Linked DNA regions of Sus scrofa. The protein of the gene in region 1 interacts with the protein of each later gene in a pairwise test. Links are inferred from orthologs where the notes say so. Each region holds a gene or a part of one and is shown in the gene's direction. Other genes may lie near its edges.

Region 1 (4,247 bases):
CTAAACGATCTTCCTCTCCATAGCTGAGTACATGGCTGTTCTCTTTAGTAATAGAAACGTTTTGCTCTCCAAGTCAATCCTGGAGCTCCAGCTACTGGCAGCTCCTCATCAGAATATGGTAAACCAGTTCCAATTTTCTTTTAACAGTTCTAATGCAAAGGAGAGAGAATTCTGCAGCCTAATACCTTGTGGTTCATCTCCCTGCTACTTCGATGCTTGGCAGGAAAACCCCTTGAACATTCCACTGCACAGATCTAATAAAATTGTTCGCTATCCGATCACACCGGGGTTGAGGTCACCTACTCGTCCTTACCAATCAAACCGTTTAAATCGTGCTACAGCAGGACAATTTCTGAAGAATTTAGCAAATTAAGCTCCTTCAAGCAAACTGTTAACCTAGCCTTCCCTCCACCCCCACCTCTCCTTTTTGCCAAGTAAATGTTCTGGTAAATTCTAGGCCGACTAAGAATGACTCATGAGGAAATCCTGCATCTTTGCATTCTTACACTAAAATGACAGCTGCGAGGTCCTGGTGTTTCCCTCTACGTCCTGAGAAGGAGATCTGTGACTTCCCCGTGTGTTCCCTAAGGACAAGCAGCCAAGTACTCCAGAGGAGGAGCACGCAACCCCAAGGACCGACCCAGCCTCGTGTGTGTTGGTGACTAAAACTGCACACCCAGGTAAAGCACTTCTTCTCCTGTTCCTTCCCCTGACCGACGACGTCCCTCCCAAACGTTCTCCAAGTTGTCCAGGGAAGCTGCAGAGCAGGTCACACCGCCCGCCCCTGCGCCGCCCCCCCTTCTCCCTTTCCTTCCGCCAATGAATCGGTGACGAAAAGAGGAGCAGGTGAGCATCTCCCCGCGGCCTCAGTTTACAGACCAAGAAAGGAGGCGCGGGGAGAGGGTGTGCGCTCCAAAAAAAGAGGGAACACATCCGAATTCAAAACCGAGTAACTGCACTCAGGTTCCCAGCAAGTAACCTTGACCTGCTGGGGACTCCCCCCTCCCTTTGGGGTCCGGAGCAAGTGCGCGTGGGGGAGGGGACGGAGGCGAGGAGGGGGAGGGGCGGGCGAGCGCCCCGCGGGGCCTGCAGCCAACCCGCCCCACGCCTCCCAAGCTCTGCCACCCCGCCGGCCGCCCCAAGCCGGCAGAGGCCTCCGGCGGCTGCCCGAAGGGAAACTCCTCGGCCCCCACCAGCAGCCCCAGCGCCTCGCCGCGGGGGGCTCGCCTGCGCACGACGCTGCGGCCGCAAACGTCAGCGGCGCCCTCCCTTCCAGACCCTTCGGCGGTGCCCGGGACTGCGCAGACTCCGCCCCAGGCCCGGAGCCAGCCGGCCAATCGGCACCCGCTGAAGGCGGGCCCAGCGTCGTGAGGCGCCGCCCACGAGCCTCCGACTCTTATAAATACCGCGGCGCGCTCCTGGCAGCAGAGAGCGGGCACCCGGGAGCGTAGACGATAATGCAAAGTGCTATGTTCCTGACTGTCCATCACGACTGCGGACCCATGGACAAGAGCGCAGGCACCGGCCCCAAAAGCGAGGAGAAGCGGGAGAAGATGAAGCGGACCCTGTAAGTACGGCTTTCTTCTCTCCCCTGCCAGCCCCGCGGACCTAGCTGTCCCGGGCGGCTGCAAACGCGGTACATCCGCGCTTGGCTTCCACCCTGGAGCGGTGCCTCCATCTCTGCAGGGGAAAACATTGTGTAAAAGATACACTTGCTAGGTAGGGTTAAATCTATGTGGTGGGTCCTTTGTGATGTAACCGAAGGACTCGAGGGTAGAGTCGAGGAACTGCGGCAAATTCGTGATGCAGAGGCGGTGGTAGATGAGCTGAGGAATCGCAGGTTGGGTTTTTATCTCCCCGCATCGAAAATGACACCAGAGAATCCTGCAGCCCAGGCGCGTCCCCAGCATTCGTACGTTGCATTGTAAATTCTCATCAACTTACACAGCTGCTGGGATGGAAATATTTTTGCTAGCTCTGAATATATTATTTTAAAATCTTTTTTTTTTCCAGTTTAACAACAGATCTCACCCACCCAGCACTAAGGAACAAATAATTGTTCTGCATCATCTGGTTAAAATGGGTGTTGTAGTTGCGATCACACACGCGCGCACACACGCACACGCACCTCACCTCATTGTTCACAGCTTCTAGAGTGGTCCAGATCCTCCTGCTCTAAGGGTGGAAGGGAAATACCCATGGCTGGCTCCGGGCAGTTCCACTGTCCGTTTCATCAAGTGTGAAATGTCTCAGAATTGTAATTAACATTGCAGAACTGCTGCTGCCTTTTGTGGGCCAGAAATAGCATCTGCCTTTTGAACTATGCCAGCTAAATTCATTAAATACCCTATAATTGTAGGTTATCCTACGCGTAGTTATAAAACTAGCAGTTATGTTCAGATGAGTAGATGAAACTGTTCCAGGCATAGGTGCTGGGTTTATATTTTAAAGGGGTAAGACTGACTTGAAGGAGGACTGTTTTGTCTTACTTCGTTGTCTGTAGCTACTGGGAGTGACTTTATTTGGTTTAAAAAAAAAAAAAAAAAAAACCTTTAGCTGCAGTGGTGTGGCCATTTCAAGTGTTGGCACTTAGTAAAAGTCTTTTTTTTTTTTTTTTTTTTTTTCTTCTTTAAGATTAAAAGATTGGAAGACCCGTTTGAGCTACTTCTTGCAAAACTCCTCCTCTCCTGGGAAGCCCAAAACCGGCAAGAAAAGCAAACCGCAAACCTTCATCAAGTAAGTTGAAAATCTCAGTCCTTGCAAAGCTAGGCCACCAGCTGCTGAACAGAAGGGGGAAACAGACAGGTGTGAGCTGACATGTGACCGTCTCTTGCAGGCCTTCTCCTGAGGAAGCACAGCTGTGGGCAGAAGCATTTGATGAGCTGCTAGCCAGCAAATGTGAGTTAACCCCTTGAATTTGGTCCTTTTCAAGGAGCCCAAGCGTCTAGAAAGGAGGAGCATCCGGCCCCAGGGAGTTTGACTTTACTGTCTCCAGCATCTGAGGCCTGTTTCTTCCCCCGCCGTTTCCCGGGGATTATCCCTGGAAACGCAGGGCTTATTCACTCCAGGTGGGACGCAAAATCAGCGCCAAACTGGAATGGCCCTTGGTGTAAGCTTGAGCCAGCTTTTCCATTGCATACAGTGTTCTCAAGAGGCTTAGTTCACACAGAGAACCAAAGCTCCCCCGTAAACGGCTGGGTCAACAGCAAAGCTGAGCACAGCAGGGCGCCACCTTAAGCATTTTGCAGACTGGCATCTTCGTCTCTGAAGAGCTCAGTTCTAAAGCGGGAGTGAAATCTAGAAATCTTGCTTTCATCTAGAGATAAGAAAATTAGGGGGCCAGGGCCAGGGAGGCCTAGGAGAAAAGTGAAGGGATTATGAGGTCCCTCAGTTCACGTTCTTCATGCTTCCTCTCCTCTGCCCCCCAGATGGTCTTGCTGCATTCAGAGCTTTTTTGAAATCTGAATTCTGTGAAGAAAATATTGAATTCTGGCTGGCCTGTGAAGACTTCAAAAAAACAAAGTCACCCCAAAAGCTGTCCTCCAAAGCCAGGAAAATATACACTGACTTCATAGAAAAAGAAGCTCCAAAAGAGGTAAGGAGGAAAAAAAAATGTCCTTGTTTCCGTATCTGTTGAACATTCTTAGCACCAGAGTGAAACGAAAGAATAGAAGAGTCCTCAAGCTAAAAGGAGGGGTAAATATTTTCCCCTCTGGCTTTCAGCGAGATGAATGACCTTTCTACGGGGGCGGCTGGGGCACCTCTTCCGCCCCTCATGGTTTTGGAGGTCTTTTGCTTGTTCATTTGCTTTCATGTATCGCATAGACGTCAGTCTCCACCTCTGAATATGCAGTAAACCGCTATTTTTGTTTCATTTCAGATAAACATAGACTTTCAAACCAAAACTCTCATTGCCCAAAACATACAAGAGGCTACAAGTGGCTGCTTTACAACTGCCCAGAAAAGGGTGTACAGCTTGATGGAGAACAACTCTTATCCCCGTTTCTTGGAGTCTGAATTCTACCAAGACTTGTGTAGGAAGCCGCCGCAGATCACCACAGAGCCCCATGCCACATGAGATGGAAACGGGAGCCCCGCAACGAGGACATTGCTTTTTTTCTTTTTGTTTCCTAAGGGGAAAGGCTGTCACCTGCCGAAAAGACTGACCTTGAATTCAGCCTGGGTGTTGAGGAAACATCACTCAGAACTATTGATTCGGAGTTAGTGAGTCAGGAAGCCAGGAGCAG
Region 2 (4,225 bases), on another chromosome or scaffold:
TCAGTGGTACGGAACCTGACCAGTATCCTTGACGATGCGAGTCCAAGCCCTGGCCCCACTCAATGGGTTAAGGATCCGGCCTCTGCCTTGAGCTGTGGCATGGATCAGGGACACAGCTTGAACCTGTGGCATAGGTGGGCAGGGCAGCTGCGGCTCCCATTAGACCGCTAGCCTGGGAATGTCCATATGCTGCAAGGGCAGCCCTAAAAAGAAAAAATTCACAGATTCTTTTCCCATATATCTCTATACAGTATTGTGTAGATATCCCTCTGCTATAAAGTATGTCCTTGTCACCTTTCTATTTTATACACAGTAATGCATATATGTCAATCCCAATTTCCTATTTTATCCCCCCCCACCTCTCCTTTGGTAATCAGAGACTCAAGATTTTCAAAGCAAATTGTTTTGTAAGTTCTTTTGTATCATTTTTTATTAGATTCCACATATTAGTGATCTCATATATTTCTTTCTCTGACTTCACTTAGTATGGTCATTTCTAGGCCCATCCATGTTGCTGCAAATGGCATTTTTCATTCTTTTTTTTTTTTAATGGCTGAGTAATAGTCCATTGCATATATGTATCACATCTTTTTTTCGCCCACAGCTGCATCTGCGGTATATGTAAGTTCCAGGCCAGGGACTGAATCCGAGCTGCAGCTGCATCAGCCCTGGATCCTTTACCCACTGTGCTGGGCTGGGATCAAAGCCGTACCTCCAGAAGGACCCAAGCTACTGCAGTCAGATTCTTAACCCACTGCACCACAGCGGGAACTCCCACACTATGTCTTCTTTAGCCAATCCTCTATTCATAGACATTCAGGTTACTTCCATGTCTTGGCTATTGTAAATAGTGCTCCAGTGAACACTGGGGTGCATGGTATCTTTAGGATGGTTTTCTGGATACAGGCCCAGGAGTGGGATTGCTGGATATGGTAGTTCTATATTTAGTTTTAGCTACCGCTTAAAAATTCTTACATATCTAGAACATCTGATAGGCACATTCAAGCTAACAGCCTTTTAAGGCTCTTCTGGGAGGCCTGCTGTCATGACACCCCCATCTGTGGCAGTGGTTTCTGAATGAATGAAATAAGGAACAGCTGTCCCAAGCAGGGATCCGTGTCCTCTGCTGCGCTGGGCCCAGACCCCCTCGGCCCCAGGGAATTTCTCCAGGAGGGGTGACCCTCTCCCTCTCAGGCCCACCTCGCGTGCCCTTCCGCTCGCAGAACGCAGAACTTGGGGCACTGAGGGGTACAGGCGGATGAGGAAGGTTCTGAGCCCTTCCCAGGCTGCTGGGGACCCGGTGGGGGCGGGGCGCGGCGCCAGCTGCCCTGGTCACGTGGCGAGTCAGGCGGAGGAGGGCGCGGGCGGGGCCTGGTGCGGTACTTAGCGCGGGGGCGGCTCTGGGAAGCTAAGGCGGCTGGCTGTTCGGGCGTCAGAACCTGCCCGAGCGCTCGGAGGCTGCAGACCTAGGCCCTCGGCGGCGGCGGCGGCGGAGCGCGGTGAGTGCGTACGGATGCGGTGCCCCCCCGGCGGAAGTGACCTGGGGCAGAGGGATGGGGAGACCGGCTGGCTTGTACCTCTGCCGGGCCCCGGCGGTGTCCCAGGGCCGGCGGAAACGGAGAGGCGAGCTGGGCGGCCCCCGCGCACTCCCGGTCGTGGCTCTGGTGAGAAGAGCAAAAACAACCCCCACGCATGCGGCCGGACCCCACCCCAGCTCCGGCTGTGTTCGGACCCCGGGCCGGCCTGACCGCGGTGTCGGGCCGGGGTGAGGGGTGGGGTGGGGCAGTACGGCGGGGCTGGGCAGTTTGCGGGGGAGCCCGAGGGAGGAGCCTGCGAGGAAAAGCTCAGCCCCGACCCACTGACTTTCGGCTGCACCCCGGGAGCCGCTTGTGAGCTGCTGGGCCTCAGTTTCCTCAGCAAATTGCTGAGTGGATATTATTTGCCTGCGTCCGCTTTAGATGTTTTCTTTTTCCAAAAGGGTTTTCCCCGGGCAGCTTGTTTGCACAACTACACACGGTTCCAGGGTCCCCAGAAGACAGAAATTGGGAAGCTGGAACCTGGCCCTGGGTGGGGCAGGGTGGGACCCACCGGAAGAGTTAAATCCTTGGGTGGGAGGAGAAACTGGGGCGGGGGGGGGGGACAGGAGACTGTAGGGCCCGGGACCCTGGGGGAGTGGAGGGGAGAGGGGTGCAGACTCTGTTCCTGGACTGCTAGGGAAGGGAAATCCGCTTGGGCCCATGGTGCTGTGGGGGAGGGGAAGGCAGGGCAGAGTCCTTGGGCATCGCCTCCTCCCTCACTTAATGACCCTGGAAGCCTGGGAGAAGGAGCGTCTTAGGGTGGCTGAGTTTGGGGAGTCAGCGGGCTGTCCAGGTAGACGTGAGTTGGATTTGCTTGCGTAATGGGCCCCAATCCCGTCCCCAGGGACTGAGGAGGCCGGTTGGCTGGTGTGGGGAGGACAGTAACTCATACGCGGGGGCGGGGGTGGGGGTGGGGTGTTCAAAGGGAGACCTTTGGAAAGCCTGATCCTCAGCTGTCTCCACTAGAGGGGAATGCAGCTGAAGGGCGTTCACCTCAGTTGAATCTATGGATGCAGAGCCCTAAGAGGAAGAGCCTTAGAAGGATGTCTGGTTCGGTAAAGGCTACTTTCCTTTTCTCCCTGACATCCTTAACTTCATGGAGAATTGTTTCCTGTTGGCGCTGGTGATGGTGACCTAGTGCCTTTAAGCTCTGTAGAGATCAGGGGCTGGGCTGCCTTCACTCTGTGTGACTTTCTCAAAGAGTTGAAGGCATCTGGCGAAAGGATTCGCCCCAACCTATTGGGGGCATTGGTCCCAGAGCTGGGGTGCTGCTGAGTGGAAAGGTGCAGATCCCTTACCTGGGGGCTTCACAGGCCCAGGGGCAGTGCCGGCCAGACATAGCCCTGGCTCCACGTACCTCCCATGATGCTGGGTCAGGACAGCCCTGTTTCTGAACTGGTCAGGTGGTGAGGGTAGAAGCCCTTAGGCTCCAGGAACACCTGCCTCCTGCTGATTCACCAGCTTGAACTGAGGTCCTCCTTGTAGACTGGCCCTTTCCCTGGCTACTAGCCCTGGGAGTTGGAGTAGGAAGTCACACACAGTTTAGGGCTAAGAGAGATCTTGTGTTACCATGGGCATTTGGGTTGAGAAGTGAAAGAAGATCACTTTCAGGTGAATCCTGGAACATCTCTTGGGTGGTTTTCTTAAATGTGGGGATGAGTTGTGGTTGTGTTTAAATATCCCTGTCCTTAGGAGAGAAGGACTCAGTGTCTGCTGCTTGTTTTTGTTTTTTATCTTGACATAAAGTACTGGAAACATGGGAGGTCAAACTATAAAGCAATGGAAATCTTGTAGGTCAAGGAGGATTGTGATTGGACACTTGGATGTCATTTAGCTTCCTGTGTAGAGCTGTCAGGGTTGAAAGTAGTTGATGAATCTAGTTGAGGCACATGCAGGTGGAGGCCACTGGGAAGCAGTCTATGCCTGGTCTCCTGTCCTCCTCTCAGCTCATGCTGCCCAAGCAAGGGAGGGTGGAGAGACTCCTGACTCCTTCCATGGCTGGAATGTTCCCATCCCACCTAGCTTGGGCCGGAGGGGAATCCAGGGATCAATTGTCATTAAATATTTAGACTTAACCAATCCCATATTAAAGCTCAGGCCTCATCCCCATCCCTTTTTCACAGTGCTCAAGGACTGGGGTGGGGAGGAGGGGCTTCCCAGCAGGAGTGCCTTCCCTCCTGGCTACAGCTCTGTTCTGCAGGCAGCAACTTTCAGCTTCTTTGCTCTTCAAGTCTTACTGATGGCTGAAGGACTCCAGTCTGCTCATCTCTTTATAATTTTCCTGCATGGTTGGGGTTGATTTTTTTTTTCCTGTTTTTTTAATACTTTGTATCAGCCCATGAATAATGTGATTAAAATTGACCAACTGTATTCCACGTGTATCCTTTTCACTTGTGTCTGTGAGACTGATTTATGTTGATACTGACAGCTCCAGGTCATTCATCTTAAATGCACCGTGTATTTATCTACTAAGGGACAGTTAAGTGGTTTTTGCTTTTTCACTGTCCTCACCACCACTACGGTAAATATCCTTGTCTCTGCCAGCTTCTTGCAGGTGTTTCTCTAGTGCAGAAGCAGAAGTCCAGGAAGATACTGGGTCATATGATGTGTGCACCTTCCACTTGTCTAGGCCACAGACAGTGCTGTGT
Region 3 (4,271 bases), on another chromosome or scaffold:
CACATGAAGAATTTCCCAAGGCAGGTACTGAATCCGCGCCACAGCGGTAACAAGCCTTAACCGCCAGGCCACTAGGAAGCTCCCGATATAATTTTAAACAGCACTTTATTTTTTTTGTCTTTCTAGGACCGCACCCACGGCATATGGAGGTTCCCAGGCTAGGGGTCCAATCGGAGCTGTAACCGCCGGCCTACACCGCAGCCAAAGCAATGCCGGATCCCAGCCGTCTCTGCGACCTATACCACAGCTCAGGGCAATGCCAGATCGTTAACCCACAGAGCAAGGCCAGGGATCGAACCCGCAACCTCATGGTTCCTAGTCGGATTCGTTAACCACTGAGCCATGATGGGAACTCCTCTAATAGTTGAGAGTCTCTGATTTCAGAGAAAATGTCTCAGTCATTCAAGAAAGGGGGACGTTATGACATTTTAAAGTTGCAGCTTATCCCTTGGGAGAAAGATTTTTTTTTCTGTTAGATTTGCAGATTTTTACTCTCAGTTGGTACTAATTTTTTACCATCCCCAAACCTCAATGTGAGGAAATAAAAACTAAGCCCTTACCTCCACTTTCCAAAACAGAGTTCTGCTTAAAGATTGTTAGTTTTGGGAATTCCCGTCGTGGCTAACGATCAGGCGTTGCCGTGACCTATGGTATAGGTCGCAGACGAGGCTCGGATCCCGAGTTGCTGTGGCTGTGGTGTAGGCCGGCGGCTACAGCTCCTTTTAGACCCCTATCCTGGGAACCTCCATATTCCGCGTGTGCGGCCCTAGAAAAGACAAAAAAAAAAAAAAAAAAGATTGTCACTTTTGGAGTTCTCCGTCCTGGTTCAGCAGAAACGAATCTGACTAGCACCCCTGAGGACGCAGGTTCGATCCCTGGCCTCGCTCAGTGGATTAAGGATCTGGGTTGCCCTGCGCTGTGGCGTACGTCGCAGGCTTGCCTCAGATCCCACATGGGATCTGGGGAAAAAAAAAAAAAAAAAAGTCGGTTTTATTTTCCCAGAATTCGTCCTTTTTATACTCAAGGTTGATGTGCCTCATATGAGCGACTTGAATCATTCCTGATATATGTTTTCTTTCTTGTTTTGCTTTTTAGGGCTGCACCCGCGGCATATGGAGGTTCCCAGGCTAGGGGTCCAATCGGAGCTACAGGCGCTGGCCTACGCCACAGCCTCAGCAAGGTGGGGTCCGAGCCGCCTCTGCGACAGCTCACGGCAACGCCACATCTTTACCCCACTGAGCAAGGCCAGGGATCAAACCGCCAACCTCAGGGTTCCTAGTCGGATTCGTTAACCGCTGAGCCACGACGGGAACTCCTAGATTTCATTTCTTAAAAGCAAAACCAGCTGGCGCAGTGGGGGAATTTTTACATTTCCTGCTCTCTACGCTCCCAGAAATGGCCTTTATCCGGATCCGACCTGCCGCGTGCTGGTGACGCAAATGCTGCGCCGGAAGTGCGAGCCGGATCCGGATCTCCGTTATGGCGGCTGCCGAGGCGCGGTGGAATCATGTGTGGGTCGGCACCGACACCGGCATCCTGAAAGGTGAGTGATGGGCCTGGGCGTCTGGAACCGCGGGGGTCATGCGTTCGCGACCCCGGCGTAACTGACGTCCCCGGACCGCAGGGGTGAACCTTCAGCGCAAACAAGCGGTAAACTACACGGCGGCGGGACAGCCGCAGCGCGAGGAGGCGGTGAGCGCCCTGTGCTGGGGCGCGGGCGGCGAGACCCAGGTGAGCGACCTCTAACTGTGCTGGAGCAGGGGGGATGCTGAGGCGTGGCAGCCTCGCTCCTCTTGCCATCCTGCCCTGCTCTCTCTGCCTGCAGATCCTAGTCGGCTGTGCCGATAGGACAGTGAAGCTCTTCAGCACCGAGGAGGGCAGGTTCCAGGGCCAGAGGCACTGCCCCGGAGGCGAGGGCACCTTCCGAGGCCTCGCCCAGGTTGACGGGTAAGACCGAGACCCTTGCCGTATGCTCAGGTATAGGCAGATAGTTGAAGCTCCCGCACGACGGTCGATCAATGGGGATCAAGTCTTAGGTGACAGGAGCCTGATCTGTGTGACAGGGACATTTGTCCTGCCTTCGTTCCTTCATTTCTATAATAAGCATTTATTGAATACCTACTGGATTACAGGCATTGGACGAAATTCAAGGGCTGCAGGTAAACTGGACACAGTACCTGCCTTCCTAGAGTCTGCATCCTCAAGGGTTGTTCTTTTGGGTCCATGACTTTTTAGGTGACCCTGAGCAAGTCATTTAATAGTTTAGAGTATGTTCTCATTTGTGTCTTATATCACCTAGAGTGTGTTTTTAGATGGGGGCTACCAACCACCAAATCGGTAAAGCTCCCACAGTAAAGGATAGGAAAGTGATAAGTTACAGGCTTAGCTTTCTTCGGAAGATGGACGGGCTATGAACAGGCTGTGTAGTTTTGGTGATGTTAATTCTGACAAGTGAGATCTAGAAGGCGCTGTGGGGTGAGATCTTTGAACTGGGTCTGGAATGATGGGTAGAACTTTGACAGATGGAGAAGCGGGTAAGGGCACTCTAGAAAGAGGCTACTGCCCGAGCAGAGGTAAGGACTGGTGTCAGGCTACAGGATACATCATGGGAAAGAGAAATAAATAGCGTTTGGGGATTGAAGCCGAGAAGCATTTTAATATGAGATGGGCAAGGTAGGTTGGGATTAAAGGTAAAAAAAAAGGGTTTTAAGTGCCAGGCTGAGAGATTTGCACTTCTGTATGTGGTGGGGAGTTATGGTTTTTGAGTAGGAAGTGTGGTGGTCAGAGCTGTGAGCCCTGCAGGATTATGGAGGATGGGTTGGAGAGACAGCAGTTGGAGATTGTTACCATAGCCCAGAGCCTGATCCAAGGTGGGGAGGGTGGGCAGATATGAGAAAGGGCATAGATTTGGTTTGTGCAGATGCTGGAGAGAGACTTGTTTGGGCTTCATGGGAAATATACTTGGGGGAGAGATTGAAATTTAGCATCCAGTTAACCAAGGACAGGGAACTTGAGAACAGCTGGTATTTGACTTTGGCCAGACATTAAACCCAAAGCAGTCCCATTACTGTCCTTTCAGAGCCACTGATCCTGACCCCTGGTGATCGGCTGAAGATTCAGAAAGACCAGCAGGGCCAGGTGCCCCACATGTAGCTATGGAATAGCAAAAGCTCTCTGCTTTGGAGTATCACAGGCTTGATTTTTAGCCCTGGTTCTGACATCAATAGCTGAGTGGCAAATCTTTTAATTTTCAGAGCTTCAGGCTCTTCACCCTATTGAAATTAAATAACAGCCATAAAACCCTGCTGTAGACCTGAGTTACCGAGAGGCTTCTTTAGTAACAGGGTTGGTAGGAGGAAGTCTAGTTCGTATGAATTTGGGTCTGGGTTGACTAGGGCCAGAGAACACGTTGAAACTTTTTTTTTTTGTCTTTTTAAGGCCACACCTGCGGCATATGGAGGTTCCCAGGCTAGGGGTCCAGTTGGAGTTGCAGCTGCCAGCCTACAACACAGCAACACCAGATCAGAGTCACATCTGCAACCTACACCATAGCTCATGGCAATGCCAGATCCTTAACCCAGTGAGCAAGGCCAGGGATTGAACCCACATCCTCACGGATACCAGTGGGGTTCATTACCACTGAGCCACAACAGAAACTCCCTGGCACTTTTTTTTAACCTAAGCCTATCCTCCCTCTTCCTTGCAGCACCCTCATCACGTGTGTGGAATCTGGGATACTTCGAGTGTGGCATGACAATGACAAGGAAGCATCCTCTGACCCAGTGAGGCTCCCCTGCTCAGATCCTGATGGTTGGGGAAGGTGGGGCCCAGGGTAGGAGCCACATGAAGGCTTTGGGGGAGGAGGATTAAGGACTCAGGAACTGACTTTCATCTCGCATTCTTTTCAGCTCCTAGAACTGAGAGTGGGCCCTGGGGTGTGTAGGATGCGCCAGGACCCATCTCGCCCCCATGTGGTTGCCACGGGTGGGAAGGAGAATGCTTTGAAGGTGTGGGACCTGCAGGGGTCTGAGGAGCCTGTGTTCAAGGCCAAGAACGTGAGTGACGGTGGGTGGGAAGGGGCCGGGTCTAAGATCCAGGGAGGCTTCGGCCAAAGACTGTGAGTCAGAGACCAGATTGGCTTTAGGGGATAACGATGGAGGGTGGGAGGAAGGGGCACTCTGAGCCCCCCACAACCCTGACCCTCATCTACCTGCCCCACCAGGTGCGGAATGATTGGCTTGACCTGAGAGTTCCCATCTGGGACCAGGACA
Region 4 (4,142 bases), on another chromosome or scaffold:
GTGCCTGCTCGTGGACTTCCAAGGGACCAGGCATGATGCTTCTGGTTCCAGCTCTCCTTTGATACCCAGGTCCCCCCACAACTCAGTCAACCCCCTCAGCTGCTGCTTTGGAGCTGTGGGGTCTCAGCTGCCTCTTACATTCCTGCCCTGGAGCATTATGGGAGCAGCTGGAGGACAAAAGGATGGGGGAGTATCCCCCATACTCCTCCTACCTCCTGGGGTGACCTGGCTTCCCTGTCTTTAGGCCCGCCCTCATCTCCAAGGCAACTCAGCCTTTTCCTCAGCCCTGGGCTCTTTCTTCAGAAATTGGGAACTGGGGATAGCAGGGTCTTAGGAAGGGAAGGCATAGCAGGGAGAGGGGATGGGATGCTTTGGACCTGATGACAGAAGGGGTAAGGGTGTGAAGGGTGGCCCTAGGGGTCCCCAAGGATTCCAGGGCCTGGAGGACTCAGTGAAGACCTCTGTTGGGAAGAGGACTGGTCAGGACTGCTTTTCCTGAGGCTGGGGAGGGTAGATACCTAGGTTCATAAGAACTAGTCGTTGGGAGTTCCCGTCGTGGCGCAGTGGTTAATGAATCTGACTAGGAACCATGAGGTTGCGGGTTCGATCACTGGCCTTGCTCAGTGGGTTAACGATCTGGCGTTGCGTGAGCTGTGGTGTAGGTTGCAGACGCGGCTCGGATCCCGCGTTGCTGTGGCTCTGGCGTAGGCCGGTGGCTACAGCTCCGATTAGACCCCTAGCCTGGGAACCTCCATATGCCACGGGAGTGGCCCAAAGAAATAGCAAAAAAAGAAAAAAAAAAAAAAAAAAAAAAAAAAAAACTAGTCGTTGGAATGGTTTTGCGGGGAGGTGGGGCAGGGAGGGGCGGCAAGCTGCCTGGGCACCAGTGAAGAAGAGTGAGGATTCTCAAGCTTTAATAGGCACAGATAACCTGGAGATTGTGTTAAAATGCAGATTCTGATTCAGCAGGTCCAGGGTGGGACCTGAGATTCTGCATTTCTCCCAAGTGCCCAGATGTTACTGAGGCTACTGGGTCAGGAACCAGAAGGGCTATAGAGAACATTGAGATTGGAAGGTGCTGGGTTCCCCCACTTCTCTTAGAATTAAGTTCCTAGGTGGGGAGGGGACCAGAGTTCAGCTCAGTCTTTGGCACATGGGAAACAGTCTAAAAATTATCCCAATTATCACTGCAATTATCCCAAAGCAGCCCATTCTATTTGTCTCTTGTTGGCTGTGACTCAGTTTCCCTGATTGCCCTTTAACTTACTCCCCCCCCAATACCCCTTATGTTCCCTGCAGAGATGCTGCCCCCACCCCCTTAGGCCCGAGGGAATAGGAGCTATGGGGCCAAGGGCCCTCTCATCTCTACTGCTACTGCTGCTGCTCTTGGTGGCAACGGGAGATGCTGACATGAAGGGACATTTTGACCCTGGTGAGGAGACTGGCTCTTGGGTCCCTGAGGGATGGGGCTTGGGAGACCGAGTCAGGAGCCATGACCCTCTGTATGCCTGTGTTCACCCAGCCAAGTGCCGCTATGCCTTGGGCATGCAGGACCGGACCATCCCAGATGGTGACATCTCTGCCTCCAGCTCCTGGTCAGACTCCACTGCGGCTCGCCACAGCAGGTATCTGGCATACCTGGGGCTGCCCCAGAGGGAGCACCTGGGGCCTCCACTCACCCTTCCAACTCTCTGCCCAAGCCAAGAGGCTTATGAGAGGGCCAATGCCAATAAAACCCCCACAGTACTGGGCGGGGGCAAGGGACTTTAAATACTGGAGACTGAGGCAGACCTCAGGCCAGGTGTTCCCTGTGACCTCCTGCCTCCTCCCAGGCTGGAAAGCAGTGACGGAGATGGGGCATGGTGCCCTGCAGGGCCAGTGTTTCCCAAGGAGGAGGAATACCTGCAGGTGGACTTGCGGCGGCTGCACCTGGTGGCGCTGGTGGGCACCCAGGGGAGGCACGCGGGGGGCCTGGGCAAGGAATTCTCCCCCAGCTACCGGCTGCGTTATTCCCGAGACGGCCTCCGCTGGATGGACTGGAGGGACCGCTGGGGCCAGGAGGTAAGGCTGGCAGGGGCAGCGCCCAGGGAAGGCTGGCTCTGCTCTCCCCTCCAGCTGTACTGCCTATGCACTGATGACTTGTAATGTCTCCCCTCTCCAGCCCAGGCACCCCCCTGAGCTCCAGCTAGTGTTGCAGACCTGACCACTCTCCACCTAGATGTCTAATGGGCATCTCAAACTTCCATAAACTTCTCAAGCTGAACTTGAGTCCCATTCCCACCCTAAACCTGTTCCTCCCCCAGCATTCCCCAGCAAGTGGTACTGCCGTATGTCCAGTTGCTTAGGCCAAAGCTAAGATGATATCCTTGATTCCTTTTTTTCTCTCACCTTCTACTTCCAAAGCATTATTTAGCGTAATTTAGCAAGGCCAGGCTGTTCTAGCTCCATGATGTTTCCTGAATCCAACCCCTTCTTACCACTTCTACCTCTATGGCCCTAGGCTGGGCCCCTACCAGCTTAGATCAGTGCAGCAGTCACCAAACTGTTCTCCCAGTTTCTTTCTTTCTTTCTTTTTTTTTTTTTTTTTTTTTTTTTTTTTGGCCTTTTTAGGGCCAAACCCACAGCATATGGAACTTCCCAGGCTAGGGGATGAATTGGAGCTGTAGCTGCCAGCCTACACCATAGCCACAGCAACACGAGATCCAAGCCATATCTGCGACCTACACCACAGCTCACGGCAACGCTGGATTCTTAACCCACTGAGCGAGGCCAAGGATCGAACCTGCATCTTCATGGATCCTAGTCGGGTTCGTTACCACTGAGCCACAATGGGAACTCCCTAGCTTCTTTCTCTCCTGAAGTTAAATCTCCACCTGGAGGCTATATCCAGGGTACTGGAGAAAATGCAAATCTGATGCCTCACACCTGGCTCACAGCCCTCTGCTGGCTTTCCTTGCTGCCAGAACAAAAGCTGAGCTCCTTCCTCAGTACAGAGGCTTAGCTTGTGTTGGCTCCTGTCCACTTCCCTTACTCCTCTCACTCTAACCGGAGCCATGCTGCTTTTCTCACTGTTCCTGGAATAAGCTAGGGCTCCAGACACTTTCACTTGCTGTTCTTGGTGCCTGGAAAGCTCCTCCTCTAGCTGTCCACAGGCGCTTCCTCTCTCCATTCAATTCTCCCCCAAGATGTCACCTCCTCAGGAAACCTTTTCTGACTCCCCACTTCCCGCTGCTCTGGCCCCACATGCTGCCTCTTGTTTCTCCTACTGGACTCTCAGTCCCACTGGAGGGACTGATGCTCACCACCGAAAATGTGCCTGCCTGGGCAGAGTGGGCGCTCAGCCAGCATCTGCTGAGTGAACAGAGGGATCAGGGTGAAGGAAGAGGGGAACCCAGAGCAGAGGTGCAGAGCCTAGAGGGACTGGGCAGAATCGAATCTGGGAACAGGGGAATGAATAGCTTAGAGACAAGTGGGTGGAGCCAGGCAAGGGGTAGGAGAGCTAATGCTGGAGGTCAGGACAGCCATCAGGCTGAGAGAGGAGTCAGAGGGCTTTGCTGCAGCCCTTTGGCATACAAATGCCTGCCTGTATCGCACAGCCCTGGGTACTCAGTGCCACCTTTCCTGCATCTCTTTGTGGCCTAGGGAGCAGCTAGGGGCTGGGAAGTTAGATCCTATTCGGAGCCCTCTCCACCCATCCACTTCCTGCATCCTGCTCCACAGGTGATCTTAGGTAATGAGGATCCTGGGGGAGTGGTGCTGAAGGACCTTGGACCCCCCATGGTGGCCCGAATGGTTCGCTTCTATCCCCGGGCGGACCGAGTCATGAGCGTCTGTCTGCGGGTGGAGCTCTATGGCTGCCTCTGGAAGGGTGAGTTGTTCAGACCCCTGAGGATCCCTTCCTGTCCTGGGGACTGGGAAGTGGGGACAGCAGGGAGGGGCGTTCAGGATCCTCCTTCTCCTGTTGGGAAGCTATCACTCTGAGTAACAAGGGGACTTGCCTCCTCTGTGCCAGCAGCCTACGGAGGGATATGAGAAAGGGGCCTGAAAGCCATTCAGGCCCAATGCAGGGGTGGGGGATGGAGGCTCCGTGCCCCTAACACCCCTCCTTCCCCTGCCCCAGATGGACTCCTGTCTTACACGGC

Evidence for each region.
Region 2: the proteins of RGS2 (region 1) and CTSB interact in a two-hybrid assay, tested with the Homo sapiens proteins (2 studies listed by BioGRID and IntAct). The link is inferred for Sus scrofa from reciprocal best matches to the Homo sapiens genes RGS2 and CTSB.
Region 3: the proteins of RGS2 (region 1) and WDR74 interact in a two-hybrid assay, tested with the Homo sapiens proteins (2 studies listed by BioGRID and IntAct). The link is inferred for Sus scrofa from reciprocal best matches to the Homo sapiens genes RGS2 and WDR74.
Region 4: the proteins of RGS2 (region 1) and DDR1 interact in a two-hybrid assay, tested with the Homo sapiens proteins (2 studies listed by BioGRID and IntAct). The link is inferred for Sus scrofa from reciprocal best matches to the Homo sapiens genes RGS2 and DDR1.

What each region holds. Positions count from the first base shown.
Region 1 is NC_010452.4:937,278-941,524, reverse strand, and holds the start of RGS2 (regulator of G-protein signaling 2), read left to right. Parts: upstream 1-1,441; 5' UTR 1,442-1,457; coding exon 1,458-1,567; intron 1,568-2,634; coding exon 2,635-2,736; intron 2,737-2,836; coding exon 2,837-2,898; intron 2,899-3,428; coding exon 3,429-3,595; intron 3,596-3,880; coding exon 3,881-4,078; 3' UTR 4,079-4,247. UniProt on the Homo sapiens protein: Regulates G protein-coupled receptor signaling cascades. Inhibits signal transduction by increasing the GTPase activity of G protein alpha subunits, thereby driving them into their inactive GDP-bound form.
Region 2 is NC_010456.5:15,031,951-15,036,175, reverse strand, and holds the start of CTSB (cathepsin B precursor), read left to right. Parts: upstream 1-1,424; 5' UTR 1,425-1,499; exon of another isoform or gene 1,500-1,513; coding exon of another isoform or gene 1,514-1,664; intron 1,665-2,303; exon of another isoform or gene 2,304-2,370; intron 2,371-4,225. UniProt on the Homo sapiens protein: Thiol protease which is believed to participate in intracellular degradation and turnover of proteins. Cleaves matrix extracellular phosphoglycoprotein MEPE. Involved in the solubilization of cross-linked TG/thyroglobulin in the thyroid follicle lumen.
Region 3 is NC_010444.4:8,930,060-8,934,330, forward strand, and holds the start of WDR74 (WD repeat-containing protein 74), read left to right. Parts: upstream 1-1,470; 5' UTR 1,471-1,479; coding exon 1,480-1,543; intron 1,544-1,624; coding exon 1,625-1,731; intron 1,732-1,825; coding exon 1,826-1,947; intron 1,948-3,706; coding exon 3,707-3,782; intron 3,783-3,908; coding exon 3,909-4,055; intron 4,056-4,222; coding exon 4,223-4,271. UniProt on the Homo sapiens protein: Regulatory protein of the MTREX-exosome complex involved in the synthesis of the 60S ribosomal subunit. Participates in an early cleavage of the pre-rRNA processing pathway in cooperation with NVL.
Region 4 is NC_010449.5:23,379,131-23,383,272, forward strand, and holds the start of DDR1 (epithelial discoidin domain-containing receptor 1 precursor), read left to right. Parts: upstream 1-1,341; coding exon 1,342-1,432; intron 1,433-1,522; coding exon 1,523-1,625; intron 1,626-1,832; coding exon 1,833-2,061; intron 2,062-3,720; coding exon 3,721-3,868; intron 3,869-4,120; coding exon 4,121-4,142. UniProt on the Homo sapiens protein: Tyrosine kinase that functions as a cell surface receptor for fibrillar collagen and regulates cell attachment to the extracellular matrix, remodeling of the extracellular matrix, cell migration, differentiation, survival and cell proliferation.